Macaca fascicularis: one gene and its partners. The protein of the gene in region 2 interacts with the protein of the main gene of each other region in a pairwise test. Links are inferred from orthologs where the notes say so. Each region holds a gene or a part of one and is shown on either strand. Other genes may lie near its edges.

What was found.
Region 1: the proteins of HOXA1 (region 2) and MGAT5B interact in a two-hybrid assay, tested with the Homo sapiens proteins (2 studies listed by BioGRID). The two-hybrid records come from large-scale screens. The link is inferred for Macaca fascicularis from reciprocal best matches to the Homo sapiens genes HOXA1 and MGAT5B.
Region 3: the proteins of HOXA1 (region 2) and TRIM42 interact in binary tests that used the Homo sapiens proteins (3 or more experiments, as listed by UniProt). The two-hybrid records come from large-scale screens. The link is inferred for Macaca fascicularis from reciprocal best matches to the Homo sapiens genes HOXA1 and TRIM42.
Region 4: the proteins of HOXA1 (region 2) and EGFL7 interact in binary tests that used the Homo sapiens proteins (3 or more experiments, as listed by UniProt). The link is inferred for Macaca fascicularis from reciprocal best matches to the Homo sapiens genes HOXA1 and EGFL7.
Region 5: the proteins of HOXA1 (region 2) and SPRY1 interact in binary tests that used the Homo sapiens proteins (3 or more experiments, as listed by UniProt). The two-hybrid records come from large-scale screens. The link is inferred for Macaca fascicularis from reciprocal best matches to the Homo sapiens genes HOXA1 and SPRY1.
Region 6: the proteins of HOXA1 (region 2) and ADAMTSL4 interact in binary tests that used the Homo sapiens proteins (3 or more experiments, as listed by UniProt). The two-hybrid records come from large-scale screens. The link is inferred for Macaca fascicularis from reciprocal best matches to the Homo sapiens genes HOXA1 and ADAMTSL4.
Region 7: the proteins of HOXA1 (region 2) and FAM221A interact in binary tests that used the Homo sapiens proteins (3 or more experiments, as listed by UniProt). The link is inferred for Macaca fascicularis from reciprocal best matches to the Homo sapiens genes HOXA1 and FAM221A.

The regions. Positions count from the first base shown.
Region 1 is NC_088390.1:83,314,170-83,317,669, reverse strand, and holds part of MGAT5B (alpha-1,6-mannosylglycoprotein 6-beta-N-acetylglucosaminyltransferase B), read right to left. Parts: intron 230-3,500; coding exon 82-229; intron 1-81. UniProt on the Homo sapiens protein: Glycosyltransferase that acts on alpha-linked mannose of N-glycans and O-mannosyl glycans.
Region 2 is NC_088377.1:103,176,087-103,180,321, forward strand, and holds the start of HOXA1 (homeobox protein Hox-A1), read left to right. Parts: upstream 1-1,435; 5' UTR 1,436-2,266; intron 2,267-2,388; exon of another isoform or gene 2,389-2,411; 5' UTR 2,412-2,482; coding exon 2,483-3,134; intron 3,135-3,595; coding exon 3,596-3,951; 3' UTR 3,952-4,235. UniProt on the Homo sapiens protein: Sequence-specific transcription factor. Regulates multiple developmental processes including brainstem, inner and outer ear, abducens nerve and cardiovascular development and morphogenesis as well as cognition and behavior.
Region 3 is NC_088376.1:43,541,331-43,544,830, reverse strand, and holds part of TRIM42 (tripartite motif-containing protein 42), read right to left. Parts: intron 353-3,500; coding exon 1-352.
Region 4 is NC_088389.1:2,680,368-2,683,828, forward strand, and holds the end of EGFL7 (epidermal growth factor-like protein 7), read right to left. Parts: intron 3,249-3,461; coding exon 3,133-3,248; intron 2,937-3,132; coding exon 2,841-2,936; intron 2,682-2,840; coding exon 2,520-2,681; intron 1,908-2,519; coding exon 1,843-1,907; intron 1,241-1,842; coding exon 1,078-1,240; intron 906-1,077; coding exon 883-905; 3' UTR 501-882; downstream 1-500. UniProt on the Homo sapiens protein: Regulates vascular tubulogenesis in vivo. Inhibits platelet-derived growth factor (PDGF)-BB-induced smooth muscle cell migration and promotes endothelial cell adhesion to the extracellular matrix and angiogenesis.
Region 5 is NC_088379.1:128,449,869-128,452,125, reverse strand, and holds part of SPRY1 (protein sprouty homolog 1), read right to left. Parts: exon of another isoform or gene 2,223-2,257; intron 455-2,222; 5' UTR 400-454; coding exon 1-399. UniProt on the Homo sapiens protein: Inhibits fibroblast growth factor (FGF)-induced retinal lens fiber differentiation, probably by inhibiting FGF-mediated phosphorylation of ERK1/2. Inhibits TGFB-induced epithelial-to-mesenchymal transition in lens epithelial cells.
Region 6 is NC_088375.1:110,694,268-110,697,767, forward strand, and holds part of ADAMTSL4 (ADAMTS-like protein 4), read right to left. Parts: intron 2,896-3,500; coding exon 2,691-2,895; intron 2,440-2,690; coding exon 2,267-2,439; intron 2,120-2,266; coding exon 2,008-2,119; intron 1,908-2,007; coding exon 1,722-1,907; intron 1,559-1,721; coding exon 1,429-1,558; intron 1,113-1,428; coding exon 908-1,112; intron 598-907; coding exon 421-597; intron 108-420; coding exon 1-107. UniProt on the Homo sapiens protein: Positive regulation of apoptosis. May facilitate FBN1 microfibril biogenesis.
Region 7 is NC_088377.1:106,595,011-106,598,996, forward strand, and holds the start of FAM221A (protein FAM221A), read right to left. Parts: upstream 2,801-3,986; 5' UTR 2,745-2,800; coding exon 2,680-2,744; intron 1-2,679.

The DNA of each region.
Region 1 (3,500 bases), on a different chromosome or scaffold from region 2:
AGATGATGGACAGCATGCCGGGCAGAGTGGCAGGTGCCACCGCTCCCCTGCTCCGCATGCCTCCTCCCCGCGTCCCCTCACCTGTCTGCGGGAAAATGCAGGTCGCCGCCAGCCCGGTGCAGCTCACTGACGTTCTCCAGCCTGGCCAGTGCGTCCATGCGCTTCACCATCAGCTCCAGCAGGTCGCTCATCTTGCGCAGGACGCCACGGGACTCAGGGCCCCCCATCACTGTGGGCAGAGTGTGGGTATGGTTAGGGGAGGCCCGAGCAGCCTGGAGGCCACCTGAGGCCACCTGGTGTCCAGGCTGGGGCAGCTCAGACAAAGCTGGCCCCAAAGCCCCCCAGCACCAACACCAGACCCCAGCCTCAGCCCTATCTTCCCAGTCATTCCTGACCCCTTTGCTGCATTGTTTTGCGGTACAGAGAACAGCATCGTGGTGGAGTGAGCCCTGGGCAGCCCTGTCTCCACCAGCCATGTGACATTGGGATCATTTCCTAAGCCCACTGGGCCTCAGTTTTGTCAACTGTAAAATGGAGCTTTAGATGTAATCTTTGAGGTGTCCTGGGGCCCAACAACCCTCATATCTGTGAGATGGCAGAAAAGGCCCAGCACTGGGACAGAAGCCCCAGAGCCCCCAAACAGCAAGCTCCAGGCAGGACTTTTAGATCAGGGTTCCTAGAAGTGTGGCCAATCACCCAGCAGCATCTGGATCTTCTAGGCAGGCTGTTAAAATTCAGATTTCTGGGCCTTGGTCTAGATTTGCCAATTCAACTGTCTAGGGTCCGGGCCCCAGGAATCTGCACTTTCCTTGCTCCCCATAGATCTGGACATGCAGGGAAGTTGGGAGCCTGTGTTCAGGGGCCCAGGGCCCTGTTGCTTCCCCAGCCCTCCTTCTCCTGCCCAGCCCCTGGGCCCTAACCCCATCTCTTCCCCATCCCTCTTCCCTGGACCCTCCTGTAGGAAACCATAATGCATGAGTTCTGAATCTCAAACTGGTCTTTGGGTTCCCAAAGATCAACTGACGAGAGCAGGTTCCCTGGGGCTGAAGCGCCTGCTCTTCCCTCTGCTCCCAGCCTGGGCAGGGGAGACCTTGTGAAGAAGAAAATTAAATGAAAATGAGGCACTTCGACCAAGATCCCATCAGCCAGCCTGCAATCCTCCACGGCTTCCTTTCTAATCATTCCCGATCATTAGCACTGCACGTGCCAGTGTGCAGGAGCAAGCTCTCGCCTTCCTTTTTAATTAAATCTGAAGGCTTCACATTGGCCCTCCACACAGTCCATAGGGTGCTGGGCTCCAGGCACTAAAATCCCCAACTCAGCTCCTCCCAAACCCCTATGGGTTGGGTTTGAAATCACTCCCCAAAAATGAGCCAGGTCACCTGGGGACACGAACCTTTGACGCTCAGGCTGCCAGTCCAGGGGCCCAGTGGAGGATGTCATGGGTTGGGCTCCCCAGAAGCAGAGCCTGGGACAAGGGTTTGAGGGTGAGTAGTTTAAACGGGAGCTAATGGAAACCTCGGCAGGAGAGTGAGGAAGAGAGACGGGGAAGCTGGGGAAGCTGGGAAAGCTGCATTGCCGAGAATGTTACCACCAGGGCGCCCAAGCTCAGCCCTGCCAGGGAGCCCAAGACCAAGTAGAACACACTGCAGTCACCCCACCTGGGGAGGGCAAGGGGACTGGGGCCTCTGCCCGCTGACCCCCGTGTGACCGGGGCAGTCACTGAATGGCTCTGAGCTTCAGCATCCCCGTCTCAAGGCAAGAATAACAGGCCCCATCTGCAGACCAACATCACAGCACCAGGAAGGTGACAAGAGAGAGGTCACTGAGAAGAGGCAGAGCAGGGAGAGGAGAGAAGGAACTAGAGGCTGTGGGCTGAGCAGGGGCAGCCGGCAGCCTCCGCATCACCGGGGCTGCTGTTACATTTCTGCTTTGCTTCTGCCCTTCTTCCCTGGCTCCGGCCGGCCCAGCCACTGCTGCCGCGTTCCCACCCTGATATAAGTCACCCCCTGGTGGGGCTCCCCTGCCAGGTGACCCCACCTGAGGTCAGAAGGGAGGCCACAGGAGCTGGGGAGGGGCCACTCACACACCGTGGAAATGCCAGCCAGGCTAGGGCTGCAAAACAGGAGAAGCTGTGATTTCCTTAAAGACACAGGGCTCGTGGCTCCGAAGAACAGGCATGAATGGGAGCAGGGGGGTTGTGGGGGGCAGAAGAAAAGAAGGAGAGAGAGGCAGAGATGCCCAGGAAGGCTCACGGATGGGGTCGGGCATTGGAGAAAATGGGCATATTTCCTCCCCACCCCAAGAGCTGAAGCAGCAAAGGACCCCCCCCTCCACAAGTCCCTCTACGGAAAACAGAGTGGATTTTCAAACACTCAGCTGGGACCGGGAAATTTCACACTAGCATTAAATGACACTAACTCAGGTCCCTCCAGCCTCTCAGGCCCTCCCCACGCACTCACACACTCAATCGGTTAATCTGGGCAGCTCTGGTGAGCCATTGCTCATAGCTTGGGCTGCAGTAGTCCTTCTCCAAAGTAGTGGGATAAAAACAGTATATAGATGGCTCGCTCTCTCTTTGAGCTTCCCAGAGTTGGGGGCAATGGTTTACTTTTTCAGATCACTCTCATTTCAGAGATGCCTGCCCAAGCCCACCCTCCAAATTCAATACCGAGCTTGCAACCAGTGCTTGTAGCACAGAGTAAATGAAGAGATTCCCATCATTTCAGCTAAAAACACTGGAGGACTCAGATGACCTGCCTGGCCACTGCTTTCCACAAGTCCACGGGGCACCACTGGTACTGTGACCGCTTGAAGGGTATCATGGAGTCGTGCAGTACACAGCCTGCCTGGCCTCACTGGGCAGCCCTGGTGGGCGGTTGCTCACAGCTCAGGCTGGAGGGTCCTTTCCCCAAAGGACTAAGATGGAAAAAGGAGTAACAGACCACAGCCGGGACACCGTAGTGGTGCTGTGGCCAGAGCACTCAGGCCTGACTGACCACAGAGCCTGGTCAGCAGCTCGCTCCTGCAGATGCAGCACCCCACGAGTGCTGAGCCCACAATATGGCTTTTGGGGTGATGCTGTGTTCCCTGGAGTGCCTCAGGCCTGGCACCCTGTCTGCTGCTCTACCGGTCCCACTCTCCAAGCCCACCCCAAGCTTCCTCTGCTCCTGCCCATCGCCTGAGCCCCTCCCAGAAACCTCACGGTCACAGCTCCCCACCCACACCCCACGCTCCCAGCCCCATTGCACAGGCTGAAAAACAGCTGATGGGCCAAAAACTATGAGGTCTGGCCTAGAGCTGCAGGGCCCCTGAGAGTCGACAAAACAGAGGCTGCAGCAGCAGCAGCATGGTGGCATGGGCCCGGTCAAGAGGGGTGCGGCAGAAGCCTGGACTCCAGGCCTGCTCTGCCACGGACCAGATAGGTGGGCAGGTCACCGTCCTTCTCTTGGCCTCAATTTACTCTCATGTAAAACGAGGGGGCTGGGCTCATTGAGCTC
Region 2 (4,235 bases):
ACCCAGGATACCCCCGAAAAGAGGCCAGGAGAGAAGAGAGGCTGAGGGAGAGCAGCGCCGAAGCAGCGAACTAGCAAAGGGAGAGTGGCTCCTGCCGGGGTCGGCTTTGTGGCAGGCGCCCTGCAGCCGAGGGGGTCCTGCAAACCCAGGCTGAGGAGGGCAACCAAGGTACAGGAATGAGGCAGCGGGGGAAAATGTACTGACTTGCTCAGGCTTGGAGGAAGGATTGCTCTCATAGCCAGCACCGACCTCCTCACATCCTGCCCACTCCCCCACAGGAGCTCTTTCTCTCCCTGCCGCTGGAAGCTGGCGCTCCCAAGGAAGCCACCTCCAGGAGGACCGCCTTGCCTTTCCCCTTCTCCAGAAGGATGATTCCCAGGAGCCGAAACTGGGGCAGGGGTGGCTGCCCAACCCCAGGAAGCGGCTCTTTCCTGCCCCTGCTCCCTCTTAACCATGCTTGGAATGGATCAAAGTCACAGAGAAATACCAACCTGAAAGGAAATGTTTGGGGAGAATGTTTCATTGTTACTGAGGGAGTCCAGAGTCAGCATGGGTTTTCCCTCTTGAGGGGACAGGTTTGGGGGAGCTTCAGTAGGTGGAGAACAGAATACAGAAGACTGAAAGGGTGACTAACATATTTGAAATGTGCCTGCCTTGAAAAAAAAACCTTCCTTGTTCTAACAGGGGAGGAAAGGCTGAAGGGGAGTGGAAACCCCAAACCCACATACATTCCTCACTATAAATTCCATCTGATTCCAACATTGTACACATGGTTGGAGTAAAATTTATACAGCATTGGCTGCAAAGCTTCCTGGACGAGCTCTCGATTTCTCCTACCCAAGACTGCATCAATTATTGGTCTCCGTTTGGCTTTTTCCTCTCTACAAGCCCAGGGTTGACGTGAAACCTAATAGTAAACAACAATTAACGACCTCAGCAGCGTCAGGGTAGAAGGAGGGTGATGGGGAACAGGACCCTTGGCCTGGGATGACGCTCAGATTTTCACGTGTCCCTCTAAGGAAAGACTTGAAGGTTCTCATAAGCAACTACCCAGCCAGTTGGAAAGGGGAGGAGGTGTCGTTGGGGTAAAGTGTTCTGTCCACCATCAGCCATCTGTCCACCGCTCCTCCCACCTGCCAGTCCCCGCACCCACTCTAGACGCGCAGCAGAATGAGGAAGGTTACAAAAGGAAGCTCTCTCTCTCTTCTAACATTCCCCTCCAGAAAAAGAGGAACGCAACGAAGGGAGTTCAGCTACTTTGTTGGAGCTGTGGACCGGCCCTGCGAGGCCCACGCGGGAGCGGAGGCTCCTGGGTCTCGGGCGCCGGCAGATGGCCTGCAGCGCACGGCCCGGCCCCCACGCTGGCCACGTCCGCCAGCGTCATCTCTCTCCCCCGCCTCCTACCCCTAAAAATCCGGCGGTCGAGTAGCTCCGCATCCCGGAGGGCTCCCGCTGCAAAACTGAGTGGGAAAGAAACGGCGGAGAGCGAGGAGAGAGGGAGGGTGGGGAAGAAGAGCCCGGTCGCCCCCGGCCTTTTCCGGCAATCCCTGTTTCCAGGGCTCTTCCGCACCCCCCCTTCCCCGGTCGAATTACAGAAACTCCTCATTGCCATGCTAATGAAGAGCGGGGGCTGTGGGGAGAGGGTTTCGGAGACTCTCCTGGAAGAAGGGAAGTTTCTTTTCTTGCCCTCGTCTCCTTCACCCCCACCCGAGTTCCTCCCAGCCAGCCCTCTGCGCTCTTCCCTCTCCATTCCGCGCTTGGAGAGCCGGTGGCCCAGCCTCGCCCCCTGCCACGGTTCTGTGCGCTCCTCACAGCCCCATGGTCTCCCAGCCCAGCCTCAGAGCAGAGAAGGCGGCCTGGGAACCCGGGGCTCGGTGTCAGCCGGATTCCCCGCCTTCCGGTTGGGTGCGCTCCGGGCTGGGCCCGCGAACCTGCGGCCACCCGGCGAACTCCGGCCCACTAACTCGCGCCCCGAGAGAGCCGGGAGCCCTCTTCCCTTCTCACCTCTCGCCAGTTCATCTTTCAGTGCACAGTGGGGAGGGGGCGGGAGCGGGGGACGCCTCTCAGCCCCCACCTCCCGGAGGCCTGGCGGGGCGGGCAGCGGAGTCGGGCGCGCGCAGAAGGCAGCCTTTGCTCTTCTTCGCTCCAGCACTCCAAATCGGCCGTTGCAGTCGCCGCAGCAGCTGCCGCCGCCTGGGCTGCCTGGGGGGGCGACTGCACGTCACCTAGACGGCGGAGCGCCGGGGATTTAAATGCCACTGAAACGGTGATCCATCACCGCGGAAGCCGGCAAACTTTTGCAGGAGGCTCAGCCATTGGCTGACACCGTCACGTGCCCCTCCCCTAGCGTCCTCCGCCCTCCCGCCCCCCCCCTCTTGCGCACTGTACATTCATATCATTTTTCTTCTCAGGCCCCATGGAGGAAGTGAGAAAGTTGGCACGGTCACCCAGGGCTTCGCAGGACCAGGTCACTCAGTGACAGATGGACAATGCAAGAATGAACTCCTTCCTGGAATACCCCATCCTTAGCAGTGGCGACTCGGGGACCTGCTCAGCCCAAGCCTACCCCTCGGACCATGGGATTACAACTTTCCAGTCGTGCGCGGTCAGTACCAACAGCTGCGGCGGCGACGACCGCTTCCTAGTGGGCAGGGGGGTGCAGATCGGTTCGCCTCACCACCACCACCACCACCACCATCACCACCCCCCGCCGGCTACCTACCAGACTTCCGGGAACCTGGGGGTGTCCTACTCCCACTCGAGTTGTGGTCCAAGCTATGGCTCACAGAACTTCAGTGCGCCTTACAGCCCCTACGCGTTAAACCAGGAAGCAGACGTAAGTGGTGGGTACCCCCAGTGCGCTCCCGCTGTTTACTCTGGAAATCTCTCATCTCCCATGGTACAGCATCACCACCACCACCAGCGTTATGCCGGGGGCGCGGTGGGCTCGCCTCAGTACATTCACCACTCATATGGACAAGAGCACCAGAGCCTGGCCCTGGCTACGTATAATAACTCCTTGTCCCCTCTCCACGCCAGCCACCAAGAAGCCTGTCGCTCCCCTGCATCGGAGACATCTTCTCCAGCGCAGACTTTTGACTGGATGAAAGTCAAAAGAAACCCTCCCAAAACAGGTCAGTCCTGCTGGTTGGTGGATGCTCCTTGATTAATCTGGAAGGAGCTGGTATGCTTAATTTCCAAGGAAAATTAATAATTATCTTTTTTTTTAAAGGCTTTAAGACTAGTGTTGTAGTGCATGGAGAGGGTACCCAGAGGTGTTGGGGCAAAGAAGCCTCAGGGATTGGCGTGTTCTCAAGGATTTTATACATTTGGGAAGTAGGAAGTGTGTGGGGGTGGTTATTGTGACGGTAGTGTTCTGTTAATATCTTAAGGCTCCATTAATCACCGATCTGACCACGCTAATGGTTGACTTCAGGTTAACACTTTACACCTCATCACTCACCCTCCACAGCCCGATTTGTGTTGAGTTCTTGATCTTTTCTTTACCTGAGTGTTGCCATGAAGTGTGTAGGTAATCTCAAGTCGGTTTAAAAATTTTTACCTTTCCATCTCATGGCTTCCCACTTTGCCCCAGGGAAAGTTGGAGAGTATGGCTACCTGGGTCAACCCAACGCGGTGCGCACCAACTTCACTACCAAGCAGCTCACGGAGCTGGAGAAGGAGTTCCACTTCAACAAGTACCTGACGCGTGCCCGCAGGGTGGAGATCGCTGCATCCCTGCAGCTTAACGAGACCCAAGTGAAGATCTGGTTCCAGAACCGCCGAATGAAGCAAAAGAAACGTGAGAAGGAGGGTCTCTTGCCCATCTCTCCAGCCACCCCGCCAGGAAACGACGAGAAGGCTGAGGAATCCTCAGAGAAGTCCAGCTCTTCGCCCTGCGTTCCTTCCCCGGGGTCTTCTACCTCAGACACTCTGACTACCTCACACTAAGGCGGCTCCAGTCCCAGACCACAGCCCAGGCATCTCCTTGGGCTGGGACTTCTTACCCAAAGCACATGCTTAGCTTATCTTTCTTTCCATTTACAGTCTCTTCCTTTCTGATCCTATCTGGGGAGCTCCTGGCCAGGATAATATGTTTGCAGATAATTCTGGACCAGAGACTTGGTGCCGGGTTAACACCTTAATCCAGATTGGGTGCCAGCACACATTTTCTGGTGGGCCTTAACATCCCTCCTGATTTTAGGAGAATTCACAGAACCTACTGTTCCTTTCAG
Region 3 (3,500 bases), on a different chromosome or scaffold from region 2:
TCAGGCCTGTAGGTGGTCTGGATGCCATCCTCAATCTGGTCCACCAGGATCTTGGCCGACTGCAGGAATGCCACCTGGCCAGTCTCCTTCAGGGCTTCCTTGGAGTAGGCGATCAGACCATCCATCTCGTTCACTTTCATGGTTGTAACATACACATATTTTTCAATTTCCTTCTGCCTGGACACTTCTAGATTCTCTATCTGCTCCATGATGATCTTCTCTTTCTCCTGAAGAATGCTGCGCAACTTGAGAAAGCCATTTCTGATCTCTTTTCGCTTTGCCTCCTTGTCAGCTTTAAAGCTGTTTTTTAAGATGTTGAATTCCATTAGGTCATTATCAATTTCATATCGGACTGCAAAAATGCCAAGTTAGTTACTTTTAAAATTTTCATCTCCCCAGGTGTCAAAGCCAGTAGCAAGCTAGAACAAATTACCCTAGGCTCCAAGGAGGTGAATGAAGAGGGAGGGAAGGCACTTGTAGTTGGGCTGAAACAGGCTAGAATAGGTTTATGAAATGAATTTGGCCTCCTTAGTACACCTTCCCCTTCTTCTCCCTCTGATCCTTCCCTGGGATATTTCTATCTTGTAACAGTAATCCCTATGGCCTTGGGTCTGAGACTGGAAGTTCAAGCCCACCCTTGATATTGGTTTTTACCAGATTTCAATTGTCTGCAAGTTGGACTTGAGAAGAGGTGAAGTCACAAAGTGACTGGTGCCTGCTTTTCCCTGTCGGAAACCTAAGCTTTTGCAATGGTGAGAGGAAGAACTAAGTTTCTGCTGACTACTTCTAAAGGTTGTCTTGCATCATTCGCTAAGCCTCCAGCCCTATACAACAGTGGGAAATTAGCAAAGCTTCCCTTCATTGAGGTGGCTCTCTTACATGCCCTTTCCCCCCTTTGTTTGTCTTGTGGTTCAGCTATGTCACTTCTCTTTGCCTTTCCCCCACTGCTTTCAAAAAAGAGTCTGCTGTCACACTTCAAGGAAAACCAGTTTATCTTGTGCCCCTCATATGGCATTTGGATTTTAAGTTCACTCAGTCATTCAACAAACATTTACTGGAGTCCTGTTACATGCCATGTATCTTTTAGGCACTAAGGATATGGATGTGATTATGAGAGGGCATCTGTGCTCAAGTTATGAATAAATCCAAAGATACTATAATTGAAGGATGCTATAGCAGGGTGAGCATGTGGCACATCTCTATCTGTGAAATGGGCTTTATGTGAAAGGTGAAATGAATACCTTTGTTAGCTTTAGAGGATTTGAGGCATTAAGGAGCAATTTGAAGAGTATCAACCTTCTGTGGCCGTTAGAAGAATGTCAATCTTCTACAGATAAGATTCTTCTCATGAAGGTAAACTCTTCAGTGAATTGATGGGCAATAATCCTCACCAAATTTTACTCAGAAGTAGGGATGACTAGCTATTTTTGGACTTGGTTCATAACACTATCCTGGTTCATAGGAAGCTGGACTTCTGTGAGTGGTGGTCATTATAACAAGGGTGTGCACTTGAGTATGGGAAACCCTAGAGTTCTGTCAGATCATGCGAACAGGGACCACATTACCACTATGACTATGGTGTGTAGAGGTGAGCAAATGTATTTGTTGAGTAAAAGCCATTCTTTCCTGTCTTCTAACATCTCATTGGTGAATGCCAGCAGTGTCACTCTCTGGCTAACTCCCTGAAGCCCCACTGTTTTCTTGCCATCTCCTTTCTCACAGTGGCTCAGAAAAGATGAGGTGATGCAGGTGAGACTGAAAGGGAAACTACTAGTGTGCGATTTCAGTGCTGAGAAGTGCTTCTTGCCCTCCCCAATGCACTGTGACTATGGCAGCCAGAATTCTACTTTGTGCATTATTTTCTTTGACTATTCAATAGTTACCTACTGTTAAAGATACTTGGATAGGAAATTTCTTCCTGTATGAGGGATTAATTAGGCTTATGTAGGGCAAAGTCCTGAGAAGCAGGATAAAAATTTCTTAGATGAGGGGAAAAAGGCATCTCCAGGAGGAGAAAAAAGACAGAGGAAGCCAGAAATGTCCCATCCCAAACTTCTACAAATATGAAAGCTCTGCAAGAGCTGATTTTAAACGAAGTCAAATCAAGCTCTCTTTTTAGGTAATACACTTAAAATTAGTTGCTATTTATTAAACACTTTTTATGGACCAGATCCATATGTTATTATATATCACATATATCTTCTTATAAGGAAGATATTGTTTCCACTTACAGATGAAAAAGCTTGAGGCCCAGGGAAGTGAAGTGACTACACAGTGTTACACATCAGGTAAATGGGAGAAACTAGGCTCTGTCCCTAATTCTATTTGTCTAGCTCCAAACTAGGTTCTTAATCGCTTCAGCTGTGGCTCTCAGCCCTCTGTGAGCACCAGATTAACCTGAAAGAGTGTTAAAAAAAACCTCTTCCCTTGGACTCATCTACTAAGATTCTGAATCAATGGGCCTGTATTGGGGCTCAGGAAGCCAGGCAAGGCAGTGTGCAGTGAGGTGTAGAATCTAACCCAGGGAATCTCCTGGGATCATGTTAAAGATGCAGATTCTGGTGCACTAGGCCTGGGGTGGGTCCTGAGATTCTGCATTGCTAACAAGCTCTCAGGTGATGCCGATGCTACTGGTCCTCGAACCACACTTTGAGTGGCAGGGACCTAAACTTTTGAGCTCCCTTTATTCCAGTGGTTCTCAACCTTGCCTGCACCATAGAATCACATGAGGAGTTTTTTAAAAGTCCGTCTTGCTGAGCCTGCACCTCTGTGTGGATGGGACAGGGGCATCAGTTTTTAGTAAAGCTTCTAAAATGGATCTTCTCTCTAGGTCCCCAAGTTTCTCAATGTGTATTCCCAGATCACTTGCTTTTGAATAACACGGAGATCTGTTTAGAATGCCAATTTATGGTACCTCCCAGAAAAGTGAATCAAGTGCTCACGAACAAGTTTGAACCCTGGTTAAAAAAATGTTGTGTGTCTGTTTCTTTCTTCGTCAAGGATGAAAGGTTAAATTATTTACTTATAGCTAATATCTAATTTACCTATTATCCCTTTTTCCCTTTCCAACTGCTGGGTTCCTTGGAATTTGGACAGGCATTTTCCCCCCACCTAGAATTGAGCTTTGTTGTCTGACTTTTAGGTGCCCTGGACTCAGAAAACTATCGTAAGTTTCACATGTATTAAGGACAAGGTTCCCTACAGAGGGATGGAAGGCACAGTAGGCTGTAGAGAGCAGCACCCTTGCCATGCTTGGCCAAAGAATTCAGACAAGCCCTGGCCTAGGGAAGCAGTGAGTCCCACCTTCAGAAAACCCTTTTGGAACCAACAGTTCTACCATTTTCTTGATAATATGTGGCTCCTGCAGGGTTCCTTTAATATGAAGTATTCCCTGGTGGTGGTTCCAGAATTAAATAAATGTCAATTGACAAGCAATGTTTCCAGGTATGTGGCAATTGAGAAAACTCGAGGTATTCCTGAAGCTGCTGAGAAGTCAGGGG
Region 4 (3,461 bases), on a different chromosome or scaffold from region 2:
GCTGTTTTTTTATAAACACACTCTTGGAAGTGGCTGGACAGCTGTGGTCACTCACAGGGCAGGCAGGGTGACCAGGATGGTAGAGCCCATGCTGTGTCTTCCCAGCTGCTCTCCCTAAGAGCCTGGGGTGGAGGCACCGCCACCCACCCGTGTTCTCTTTCCAGGGGTGGGCCCACATCACCCTCTAATATTTCCATCGGTGGGTGGGGGGTGTCGCCTAATTGGGGCAGGTGTGCCAGGATCCTCAGGCTACTGGGAAGGAGGCCAGAGATTTGCTTTTTGGCCTCTGGTTGGGGCCAACACATCCCCAGGACAAAGCTCTCTGTGGCCTCAAAGAAACCACCTGCCCAGCCCCTCTCCCTTGGAGTGCCCTCCCCACCCTACTCCCAGCTCCACTTGGCCCCCTTTGCCAGCCGGCACCCGGCAGCGGGTCTGGGTGGGGTGGCCAGGAGGTGAGAGCCCTCCCCCCAGGCCCCGAGTCCATCCACTGACACAGCAGCTCACATTTCATTTTTATTCTGCTGGGGGTCAGGCAGCAGCCCCCACTGAAGCCCCACCCAGCCTCCGGGCTGCCTGGCCTGTGCCACGGGTCCCAGTCTCCAGCAGAGAGTCCGTGAGCTCGTACCTTCCCTTGGCTGAGGGCCCACCTGGCCTTGGGATGCCGTTGGGCTGGCTAGGGGTGGATTGACACAGAAGACCACAGCCCACCCCACACCAGAGCCCTGGGAGCCTCCTGAGGAAGGGGAGGAGGAAGAGCAAGAGGGCCCTGCCTGGCCTTCCACTGAGACACCAAAGTGGTGTCGACCCCCAGCATGTCGCCCAGGGGCATGGGGGCTGCACGGCAGGGTGAAGGGCTCAGTGCAGCCTGGGGCGCCGGGGCGGTCACGAGTCTTTCTTGCAGGAGCCTAGGGTTGGATGAGGCTAAGGTCAGAGGTCACTGCTCCCCATAGCCTCCCCGCCCAGCCAGATCTGACCCCTTGGCCTTTGGTCACCCCCGACCCCCAAGCCTGGGTAGCCCCTCTAGGCCAACTGGGCGCAGACCCGGGAGGAGGGCTCTGGAGGGTGGGGGGCACTCACAGGACCCCAGCTGCTCCTCCAGGAAGGAGATCTGCTCACTCAGGGAGTCGATACGGCCCAGCTGCTGGAAGGAGTGCACCAGGAGGCTGCCGGGGTCCGGGAGCCCGTGCTCCAGTGCCTGCGAGGCCAGGCTGTGCAGTGGGGCCAGCACCAGCTGCAGCTTCTGCGGGTGCAGAAGGGTGGTGACTCCGGGCCGGCCCCGCCCTCTCTGCTCCACCAGGGTCTAGGGGGGACCCCCCGGGGAAGGGCTCCACAAGCCTCCAGCCCCAGCCCCTGCAGCAGGGCTCCAGGTGTCCACTAGAGGGGGCTGCTGTGCCAGAAGAGCCTGCGGCAGAGTGGGTGCCTGGGGCATCAGGCTGGCCGGGTGGTCCCAGCCTTGGGGTCCCCGGCAGAACTAGGGGAACAGCTGGACCACTGGCCAGTGGGAAGACTGGCAAGAGCTCTTTGTCCTGGTGGGGATAAAGGTGGTGGGGGGTGGGGGGTCTTGTCTGGGTCCAGGCTGTGTGTATGGTCTAGGGGGCTGTCACGCTTGGTTCCTCCAGCCCTGGGGGTCCTGGTCAGTGTCTGGCTGCCTCTGCCCAGTATGGATCCAGGCCAGGGCCCCCTCGGCAGTCAGCAGCAAGGAAGCTGCCTCCCCAGGGCCAGGACCTTTTCAGACCACCCCCAGCCATCTGTGGGTCGCGACCATGTCTCAGGAGACTATGGAGCCTATATCCTGGCCTGGGCTTCCGCTGTCGCGAGGACCTGCCCCACCCCAGGCCTCACCTGCTCCAGCAGGTCCACCCTGGACTGCAGCCTCTGCACTTCCTCCTTCATCGCACTGTCCACTCCTGGGGGCAGAGCCAGGCGCTGGGTCAGGGTCGGCCGGCTCCCCACCCACACCCCCAGGCTCCCTCATTTCCCCAGGGAGAGGCAGAGCCCAAAGACTCAGATCCAGGCCTCTGCCGGCCCCGACGCCTGCCTGGCGCTGGCCAGAGGTCTCAGGGCTGTGCCACCTAAGTACATCGGGGCGCATGGCTCTGCGCAGCTGCTCAGGGTCCCGGCCACGCTGAGGGAGGTCGGAGCTGTGGTGTCAGCGGCGCTTTCGATGCGGTGCTGTGGACAGCGCATTATTACTCACGGTACGAGTTTGAAGTGTCACAGCGCGTACCAAAAGTAATAATGTCCCATCACCAGCGGGGGCGTGGCGTCTTCCAGAATGCTGCACTGCACGCAGACGGGCACTTCCGCCTTCTTGGCTGACCGTGAGGCTCCAGGCAACCTGCCCCCAGTTCTCAGGAACCCACCTGTCCTCCCGCCCCGTCTTCCCTCCCTGGAGAGGGAGCCCCCACCACCTTCCACCCAGGTTCCAGTGCCCCTCACCGTGCCTAACACACAGCCACATGGCAATGTCCACTGGCTGCCCACCTCCCCAGGCCAGGCCCAGCCAGGGCTGAGTTTACCTGTTAGGTTGGGGGCCACCCTGGGGGGCCCTCCCTTGGACACGCAGTGTGTACCATCTGCAGACAGGCTGTGCCCCTCCCAACACTGGCACCAGTAACTGCCGGCGGTGTTGACGCAGCGCTGGGGACAGCCGGCCCCCCCAGCACTGCATTCGTCCACATCTGTGGGAAATGGGGTGTCAGGCGGCCATGCCTGTGGGAGGGGTCCTGCCGACATAGCTCCCTTCACAATCACTCACTCATGGGCCAGCAGTAACCCCAGGACATGCAAGGAGGTGCCCAGGCCCCTTCCAGGGTCCCCCAGGGTGGAGCCAGCCTCACCTGACTGGCAGGTGTCACCCTGCCATCCTGCAGGGCAGCGGCAGCGGCCAGGCTGGATGCAGCTCCCTCCGTTCCGGCACGGCGGCTGGCATATTGCTGTGGGTAGGGGAGGCTGGTCACCAGCTCAGTTGGGTCCCCAGCACCCTGTGGGGGCAGCTGCTAGGGAGTGGGTGCTCTGTGGCAAGGTGGTGCTTTGTTCCGGGTTTGAGAAAAGCAGCAGGAGCATTGCTGGAAGACTGGGGAATAGCTGCCCTTCTGACTAACACCAGGCACCGAGGGGCATAGCCCTCACCTGCTCCACAGGCCCCGGGAAGCCCGCTGGTCCTCTTCCAGCCGGGGCAGCATGCGTACCGAGGCCTGGCGGGGGCCAGCCCGGGGCTGCGGCGGTAGGCGGTCCTATAGATGGTTCTGTGGGGTGGGCGGGACAGCTCAGAGGAGCATCCTACTCCCCCTTAGCCACCCACTGGGCAGCTAGAGTCCCCTCTCAGAGTGGACAGAGTCACCCCAGCGTGTCCCCAGGGGTCTTCTCCCCAAGGGATGGCACTGAGGGGTCATTGCACAGCCGTTTCCCTGCCTGGGACTTCCGGTGCTGGCCGGGACTCAAGCCACAGCAGGAAGGCC
Region 5 (2,257 bases), on a different chromosome or scaffold from region 2:
CTGTTCAGATGAGGCACTGCTGTTGCTCCCAGAGCTGGCTGCACTGCCCGTGCTGGTTGATCTGCTCAAAATGGGGCCCCTGGCATTATTGGGGAGTACTGCATGTCCCAGGTGGCTTGTGTGTCTGTGCTCGTAGTTATTATTCACATTAATTGGTATGATTTCATGAGTCCTCTCATGCTTTTCTTGTCTTGGTGCTGTCCGAGGAGCAGGTCTTTTCACCACTGAAGGCCCTTCTGTGTATTCATTGCTGCCTCTTATGGCCTTGATCTGGTCTAATGACAAAATAGCAGCAGGCTGAATCTCTCTCTCATAGTCTAATCTCTGACGGCTATCCAAAGAAGGTTGCTGGATCACAACTAACGAACTGCCACTGCCATGTTGATTTTGGGGATCCATGTGTAGTGATCTTGAGTTCTGGCAATCAGTGGAAACCTGGCATGCATCTGAAATCCTAAAAGGAAATCAAAGATGAAAAAAACAGAGAAAATAAATGACAGGAAGCATTTTTTGCGGGGGTGGGGGGAGGGAAATCCTGTCAAGTCACAAATTGACTAAACCACCTAATAATGACCTCCTTCATCAGTGGATTACAATGATGCTGGGGTCCTGGCCAGAGTCCAATTCCAGGAGAGGCTGGGGACCACATCATAGAGGAAGATTGTAAACAAGAGACCCCATGCCATAAACATTACAAGTTTTTCCAACTTTTAAGAAGCAGAATCAAGAGGAAGTAATGCCTTCCTGTTTGTGAATCTAACAATCAAAATGGAGCATGCCTTCGCAGGGAATATTGAGTATAAGCAGGAGAATAACTCTCATCTAAAGAAAGCTCAGTTACCAGTTCATAGGTGGTTTCCATAAAGGAGAATGTCTACCTTTTAAGAAACTGAGAATGGCTTTGGTGCTACAGCCTTTTTGTTGTGTGCTGTTATAAGCATTAGATTAATGATGAAAAAAATAAAGGCATTAAAAAAAATTAAGACTCTAAAATGAAATCGCAAAATAAAAGGTAACTTTCTGTATAAATCAGAATTTTAAAACTACCTTATTATTCATCTATGAGATGCAAAAATAAATGTATCAGGTACACAACGGTTCTTGGTGTTTCGTAGCTACAAACACACACACACAAGACTCAATGTATAGTCCAGTGAACGATGTAACAGTACTCACATTTGAAATCCTGAGAGGATTTTTTTTTTAAGCTGAAGGGCTCACTCACAAAACAAGTTTTATGCACAAATAAGTGTAGTGTAGGTACATACGCAGTGTATTTAAATCCTGGCCGTTTTAATTATCTGTATTTCCTCTAATTTAAAAATCTGTATTTACATGACAGACCTTGATTTTCAAAAGCACTGCCAACTGATTCAATGTGCTTCTTATAACAAAATCAGCACACTAATATCCAGATACAAATAAGCAGTTGTGTTTCCATACTCATAGTAAATTTCTAATTTATAATGTGTTCTTCACAAACTACCAAAGATAAAAGTTTCTGCTTTCAGTGGTGAACTAGAGCATTTTTCACACAAATTCCTTCTAAAGTCTATAGAGTCGACCCAATTCAAGAATGAAAAGAAAAAGAAATGTCCATTCTCCACTACCAACCTGAGGCAAAAAAACATGGTTTAAGGAATAAACCATGCAGAAAGCAGAAAGAAGTCCATTTCGTATATTTCCTAAACTAATGTCTCTAAACTATGCCTTCTATGTTAACTTCTTGGAGCTCCCCCCTCGTTTTCACAACTCAGCTCTCTCAAGTTTCTACTTTATTCTACCTTCTTTGCGCAGGAGGAGTAACACATTCATAACCTGCGGAGATTTGGTCTTGGAGTCCTCAACATCTAATCCTGACTCCTGAACAATTATTCCTCTTCTTCAAGAACTTCTTAAATCAGTGCTTTGAAAGCAAAAGGTAGCTACAAGTACTAAGCCAGATTCCACACGAAACGCAAAACCGTAGAGGATTTGAATAGTGTAACTCAAAACACCAGGCACAACTTTAATTTGCATTTCCAATGACAGTTGTAACAAACTTCATACTGGTTGAGAAATGAAGTTACCAGACAAAAAATGAAAAGCAAAGAAAATTCGCCACCTCTGATTCGAAGAAAAGCCCATTTTCAAGCAGTGACAGTCTTGGACAAGCCCCAAACACGCTCACACGCGCTCGGCACACTGCCTTCCCCAAGAAAACTCGAATGGTAGTAGAATACCTTTGCGGACAATCCCATCACCATCCCAAGTATCA
Region 6 (3,500 bases), on a different chromosome or scaffold from region 2:
TGCCCAGTTCCTGCTCCTGCTTCTCCCTGTCCTGGCCCGAGGGCTGCCCCACTCCCAAGGCAGACCACAGAGCGCCGCTGGATTCCCGTCCCACACTCGGCTGAGCACTGCGGAGGAGGAGAGCGGCCTGCGTGAGGGGCCTGCTGGTGACTGGCACAAGGGACAGGAGAGGGGGCAGGGAGGGATGCATCCTGGGTCCGAATCCTGGGCGGTAGGGAACGTCCCCAGGTACCAGGCCTGGACGGGGAATCCTAACTGGGCCCCTCATGGAAGTTGTTCTCACTTACCTCTGAGTTCCCAGCGTCAAGCATATAGCAGGCACTTGATCAATACAAGTTTATTGAGCTGTGCTGGAAAGGCTGAGGTGTCCTGGGCATGGTCACCCAGGATGCAGGACATGGCTGGGGGTTCGGGGCTCACCTTGGAGTTCCAGTCGCTGTGGAACCAGGCGGTAGTACAGGGCCCCATGTCACAGGCCTCTCTGCTGGGGGGCTGCGGGGGGCCTGACGCGCACTCCTGCTCACTCACTTCATCACCATTGTTCCCAACACAGCGAACCTGCCGGCTTCTCTGGCCCCGGCCGCACCGCACGGAGCACTGAGGGGGCGAGGGGAATCCAGGGAGCTGGGCTTCTCAGCCAGCCTCCAGCTCTAGGGCTTCAGAACCAGGCTCTGCCTTCGATCCCCAGCCCAGCAGTCACATGGTTTCATGGGCTGAGGAGGAGGCTGAGCCCTAGGGCCCCGGGCCCCCAATCCCTGATTCAGTCCCTTATCTGACTTCTATATTGGGGGTCCATATGAAACCCTGTTTGTAAATAGTTTCTGCTGATGAAAAAGAAGTTGAAAAACCGCTGCTCTTGTTCACCGGTGCCCATCCCCTCCCCGGCACCTTGCCCGGGCGCACTCACCTGGCTCCAAGGAGAGCCAACTTCCCAATGGCCACAGAGGCGCAGCTGGCAAGACTGGGTGATGTTGGGCCGGGGGAGATGTCCACAGCGCTCGGGGGGCACCGAGGAGCCACCCCCCCCAAACTCCTGCCGGCATTGCAGCTGGCGGTGCTGGGTGCCAGGGCCACAGGAGCGGCTGCAGGATGTCCACTCACCAGCCTCCCAGCTGCAGGCACCAGCAGGGCACGGAAGAGATGGAGACACAGATGAGATATGTGGGGCTGCCATGGCAGGGGAGATGGAAGACACATTGGACATGGGGGCCTCAGAGGAGAGTGGGCACGTTTGGCATTTGGAGTCTGGGTTCCTGGGGGGCTCAGCCTGCCATGGCTTTCTTGCTGCCTACCGAATGTCCGCCTTTCTAATCTAATGTTGTCTCTCTGCAGCCAGGAGATGTCGCGTTGAGTGCAGAATTCAGGTAAGATTCTGGGGGCAACTGCTGTGTTTCCAGTACCCTAACCCTCCCCGTGGGCCATACTCACTATGGGGGGCACGGGGCGCCGTGGCAGGGTTCAGGGGAGGCTGGGGGCCTGGCACCCGCGGCACAGCTGCGTTCATCCAGTTCCTCTCCCGACTCACGAGAGATGCAGAGGAAAATGGGGCGCCAGACACCTGAGTGGGTGAGAAGGCAGCCAGGGAGGCAGGAGGCTGGAGCCCAAGCTCAGTGGTGTCCCAGATGCAGGGTCGGGCGTGGCCCCACTATCCCGGATGCAGGATCAGGAGTGTCAGTTGGGGGGCTTGGACTGAGGTGCTGGTCCAAGGTGCAATGTCTCACCTTTCCCACAGGACGCTGAGCATGCGGAGTGTCCCACTCGTTTCCAGTACGCAGCTGGAGACCCCAGGGGTGTCCTGGGATGGGGCGGGGCGGGCATCTGGGGGATCCGCACCTGGCGCTGGAGAGTGCCTGGGGTCCGGGCTGGGCGGGGCACTACAGCGAGTGGGGGCTCCACCCTCAGAATCTCTGTGCAGGGGAGCAGGTGAATCAGATGCCACCCCACTGCCCCAGAGCCACCCCTGCAGCTTCTCCCTCCTCCTTCCAAGTGCAGGGGTCAGAGTCTTACCTGGCTGAAGCTGGGGGACAGCGGGCTCTGAGGTGGGGTTCTCAAGGATTGGAGGAGATGAAGAGATGACATACTGATAAAATACGCCTGGGTTTTCCTCCTGAAAGATCATCTGGGGAGAAGAGAAGATAATGAATGTTTGGGGGTGGCCAGAGGGGGATGCCACCAGCTCTATCTCCCATCTTGACAACCACAGCTCTGCCCTTAGAGAGAACAGCCTCCCTCCCCAGGATCCAGCTGCCCCTGGCCCCAGGCTCACATAGACATCCACAGGCTGGGTGGTGGGGCCTTCAGCCGACAGACTCTCCCCTTTGCCCTCCTCCCTGGGAGGACGGTTATATCGAAAGACGGTCCCGCCGGCCCTGTAGGACCCAGGGGGATCCACAGCCCAGTTCCCATTGATGATGGACCGGCCCCCAGGGCCACGAAGTGCTGCAGGTCAGAGGTGAGAGATTGGGAAATTCCAGGGTGATAATACTTTCCTCCTCCCACACTGTGTCCTCAGCCTATAGAAGCTCCCACCAGAACCTAAGAGCCCCCCAAGCCCTCTCAGCTTCCTCACACCTTCCACAAGGGGAGGGGCCAGACCCTGGACTTCCCCGTTTGGCTTGCTCACTGCACTGAGTGGGGGTATGGAGGGCTGAACAGACATGGAAGTGAAAGGGAGGCAGCTGGGTGCTCACCCAGGTAGTTGGAGCTAGGCCGGAGCTGGGCAATCTGGAGCCGCGAGGCTCCCGCTGGAATCCACAAGATCTTCTGATAGCCCAGGGGGCCCCCTCGGTCAGTGAGGTTCCCCGAAACAAGGCGACAGGTAGAATCATCACCCCCACAGACTCCACAGCCATCAGGACGCCTGCCAGAGCCAAGGATCCCATCACAGCCGGGGCTCTGGAGAGAGTGAGGTGAGGCAGCGGCCACAGAATGCCAGACACCACCTCAACCCCACCCCTGTCCCCTCGGGAGCCTCAGCTCACTACCCTGCTTTTTGTGCTACAAGTGAGAGCACAAAAGCAGCCCCACCGTCCCCAGTCAGACCCAGGGACACGGACAGGTGCCCGATCAGATCCTTCAGGCTCTGCTCAGCCCAGCTTGGCAGGTTAGAATTCTCCCTTGGTTATCTCAGTATAGTGTTTTGTTGTTGAATTAATTAATGAGACTGTAGGCCGGGCCCGGTGGCTCAAGCCTGTAATCCCAGCACTTTGGGAGGCCAAGACGGGCGGATCACGAGGTCAGGAGTTCGAGACCATACTGGCTAACACGGTGAAACCCCGTCTCTACTAAAAAATACAAAAAACTAGCCGGGCGAGGTGGTGGGCGCCTGTAGTCCCGGCTACTCGGGAGGCTGAGGCAGGAGAATGGCGTAAACCCGGGAGGCGGAGCTTGCAGTGAGCTGAGATCCGGCCACTGCACTCCACCCTGGGCGACATAGCGAGACTCCGTCTCAAAAAAAAAAAAAATTAATGAGACTGTGCAAATACGTGTGTGTGCATGTG
Region 7 (3,986 bases), about 3.4 Mb from region 2:
TACACACTTGGTTCAGCAAAAGCTCAAACTACATTTGTGTATTAGGTAATCAGGTTTATCATTGTTTAATTTCAGAAGTAAGAACCCAAAATTTTATGGGAAAATATTAAGCCCCCACTATTTCTATGAAACGAAATTAAGAATTGGCCTCCCTGGAGGAAAAGAAAGCACACCTAAAAGAAGTTTTTCCAAAACTGAAGACATTTCTCCCTGAAAATACTCCCCTTGAAAAGTCACAAAAAGTGATATTTGTAGAATGCTACATGCTTTTTTCCATACTTTGAAGCCTTTAGCTGAGGTAGAAAATAAAAACCATTGCTCTATGTGCTTGCCATTAAAAAAAAAAGGAAAACCAATGTATAAGCTATGAAATAATCAAAACTATCTTCTTTACACAGACAATCTAGATACATAATAGCAAAGAAACAAAGGGCATTTATTTCTGAGTTAAATTTTGGGCCATTTCAGTTTCTTGTACCTATTAAGAATACCAACAGGTATTAAGATCTTAAGATAAATACGGATCTTTAAAAGATCTTTTAAAAGTAAGATGTCATTGGTATTTAAGTACTAAACCAGTGCAACTCAAATTTTATTGTACTTACAGAATCCCCAGGGGATCTTGTTCAAATGCAGATTAAAACTCACAGCACAGTGGCTCACACCTGTAATCCCAGCACTTTGGGAGGCTGAAGCAGGCGGATCACTTTAGGTCAGGAGTTCGAGACCAGCCTGGCCAATATAGCAAAACCCCGTCTCTACCAATAATGAAAAAATTAGCGGGGCGTGGTGGTGGGCGCCTATAATCCCAACTACTCTGGAAACTGAGGCACTGAGAATTGCTTGAACCATGGAGGCAGAGGTTACAGTGAGCTGAGATAGCGCCACTGCACTCCAGACTGGGCAGCAGAGCAAGACTCTATCTAAAATATATATATATATATATTTATATACCTGTATATAAATGTATAAATATATATGTGTATATATGTTACTCCCACAGTGTGAGTAACAAGCCTGCATGCTTCCCCTCCCAACTGACTCCCACCAAAGCACCTAGACAAGACCAAATCCAGGAAAACTCTTAGGAAGGAAAGTTTGTTTCCTTCTAAACTCATATTTTGACTCATCTTCCCACCCCACCTTCCCAGCCCACCTTTTCACATCTAGGCACTCAAGTCCTGTTTTCCCCACTTTTCTAAAATCCTGACGTCAGTAAAGGACCTAATAATCTCTTTCAGAGGGAAATGTTTCAAGTTATTTATGATTGCAAAAATAATTTCCCAGCTGGGCACGGTGGCTCAGGCCTGTAATCCCAACACTTTAGGATGCCAAGGCGGGCGGAGCCCAGGAGTTCAAGACCAGCCTGGGCAACATGGTGAAATCCCGTCTCTACAGAAAATACAAAAATCAACTGGGCTCCTGTAGTCCCAGCTACTCGGGAGGCTGAGGCAGGAGAATCACTTGAACCCAGGAGGTGGAGATTGCGGTGAGCCGAGATCGCGCCACTGCACTCCAGCCTGGGCAAGAGTCAGACCCTGTCTCAATAAAATAAATAAATACATAATTTCCCACCAGGTCTGCCCTAACATGTTCGGAGCTAGGCAAGAATTAACTGGAGGCCCACAATTCACATATCTAAATATCCAAGTTATCAGTCAACACCAGCTCCAGCAACTTGCTCCCAGGCAATAGCTCTGGAGAACTGGAGGCTCAAGGAGCCGGCTCTGCTCTGCGCGACGACTGGATGGTGGTTGTTCTGACCCTGAACCGGGCGTGGGAACTGACCCCATCAAGCTCCTAGCCCTTATTCTTCTAGCTCAGAATCTCCAGGCAGTTCTAAGGGTTACCGAAAACTACACCAACGGGGCAGTCGGAGCGCGGGAGAGCAGTCAGCTGGGGGGCCGTCTGCGCGCACACCTCTGGGTCATGTGGGTCGCCAACGATGCCGCCGAGGAGGCCCTGTCGCTCGCTCCGGCCTCCCTGGCCGAGCCTGGAGCGTCTCCCCTCTGCTTGTACACACACATCCTCCAGCCCCAACTCCGCGTCCTCTGGCGGCCCTCTCCAGGACTTCCCATCCGCCCAGATTCCGGACGATCAAAACCCCCAGGAAGCGGAAAAAGAGCGCGTCGCTGCAGGTGCACCAGCCTCGGTCAGGACCCAGGACAATTAGCCGGGTCCTCAGGCCAAAGGAGCGCCTACGTTTCCAGTTTCGGAAGGGGTTTCTCCAGAACACCAAAACACCAGTCGGTGCCTTTCTCCTAAAACCAGCACCTCGGGGTGGGGAGTGCGTTCAGAAGTTCACGGTTGACCCTATTACTGGGTTAATTTGATGCATGCTAACTTCTATAGCCTCTAGTACTCGATGTGAATGTTTTCAATGGCCATTTAAAAAACAGTTGGACCTCTGTATCAACTAGAGTTAGCCATCCTTCTTGGAAGGGAGCAGAGGGACCTCTTAAATGGCATCGGAAGACTCATCATTGCATAGAACTGCGTGGCCCTACAATATTTAATTAGGCAAAGACGAAACTGGAATTAATCTAGGCCTCCCCCAACAACCCAGGCAAAGATTCAGGGAACCCCCGCGGACACCCGCCGGGCCCCTGCCCTCGCCCTCAGCCCAGGGATCGTGGCCCCTCGGAGCGGCGAAGGGCCGGCCCGGAGCCACAGCCTCACCTCCTATACTCCAGGTACTCGTCCACTGCCGCCGCGCCGCGGGGAGGCAACGTCAGCCGCTCCATGGCCGGTGGGGAAGCCAAAGGCGCCCTCCCTGCTGGCCCGCCGACCGCGAAGCCCCACCCGGCCCCGCCCCCTCCAGGCGCTGCGCCCCGTCCGCCCGCCTCCTGATTGGCCGGGCCTGAAGCCCAAGGAGGCCGCGCGTGGCAACTGCGCAGGACGCGCGCCCCTACCTGGCAGCTGGCGCCAGGCACCAGAACCCCGGGCTCCGCAAGCTCAGCCCCGCGCCACGCATAGTGCAGTTCGCCGCCCTCCATAAACCTTGCCTCGATCCCCTCTCCCTTTCCCTGGACCGACAAGTCTTCTTGTAAATTAACAAGTGACAAGGGAGTGCAGTGCCTTGCCTATAACAGGCGCATAGAAAATAGCTTATTTATTTGTACAGTTCTTTTCGCTTAATCCATCTCTTGAAATATAAGTGGGTTTGAGAAGGTTCTGCTTTAGTTTGAGGCCCGCCTCTCCTTAACTGTCGACCTGTTTCTAGTATTGGCGTTTTCAAAAACTCTGATGTAACAATCAGTAGTCCTGGGTATCTGGGTTCACTTTGGGGGCTGCTAAAGCAGCATATTCTTCAAAGGAACCGAACAACTGATTTAAGGTGAAGCATGTAAAAACAATTTAGGTAAAGATTTGTTTGTTTTTTTTAACTTTTGGAAACACTGCAAAACATATTTAGAAGCTGAATCACCATGCGATTGGTAATTTGGCCATAATTTGACTTAGCACATTGTGGAAAAGAATAGAAATCGTCAGGCGGAGTCATTAAACTCTGAAGCTCCCAGGGGATCAGCTTTAGCGCCCTCTGTAAATTATCTGGGAGGGAGAATATGCAAACAATAAGAAAAATAATTAAACTTCGGTACAGTACTTTATTTTCAAAGTACTTTTCTACATATTTCAGGTCCAAAAAACATTATGTAAACAAATTGTTTGGGTACCACCCCCCTCCCTTCTCGGTGCCCTTTCAACAAACCCCACCCTCTCCCCAAAGTCCTGCTCCTGTTCAGAGGCGTTCTTGACAGTCACATGAATGAATGATCCTGAAATCGGATTCATATTTTAGGAGGCTGATCTCAACTTAGTATTCTCTCCTATCACACCTGTGGTTTGCTGCTGTCCATTATACCTCTTCCCCCCGACACCCTCCAGATGGGGTCTTACTCTTTCGCCAAGGCTGGAGTGCAGTGGCTGGATCTCGACTCACTGAAGACTCTGCCTCCTAGGTTCAAGCAGTTCTCCTGCCTCAG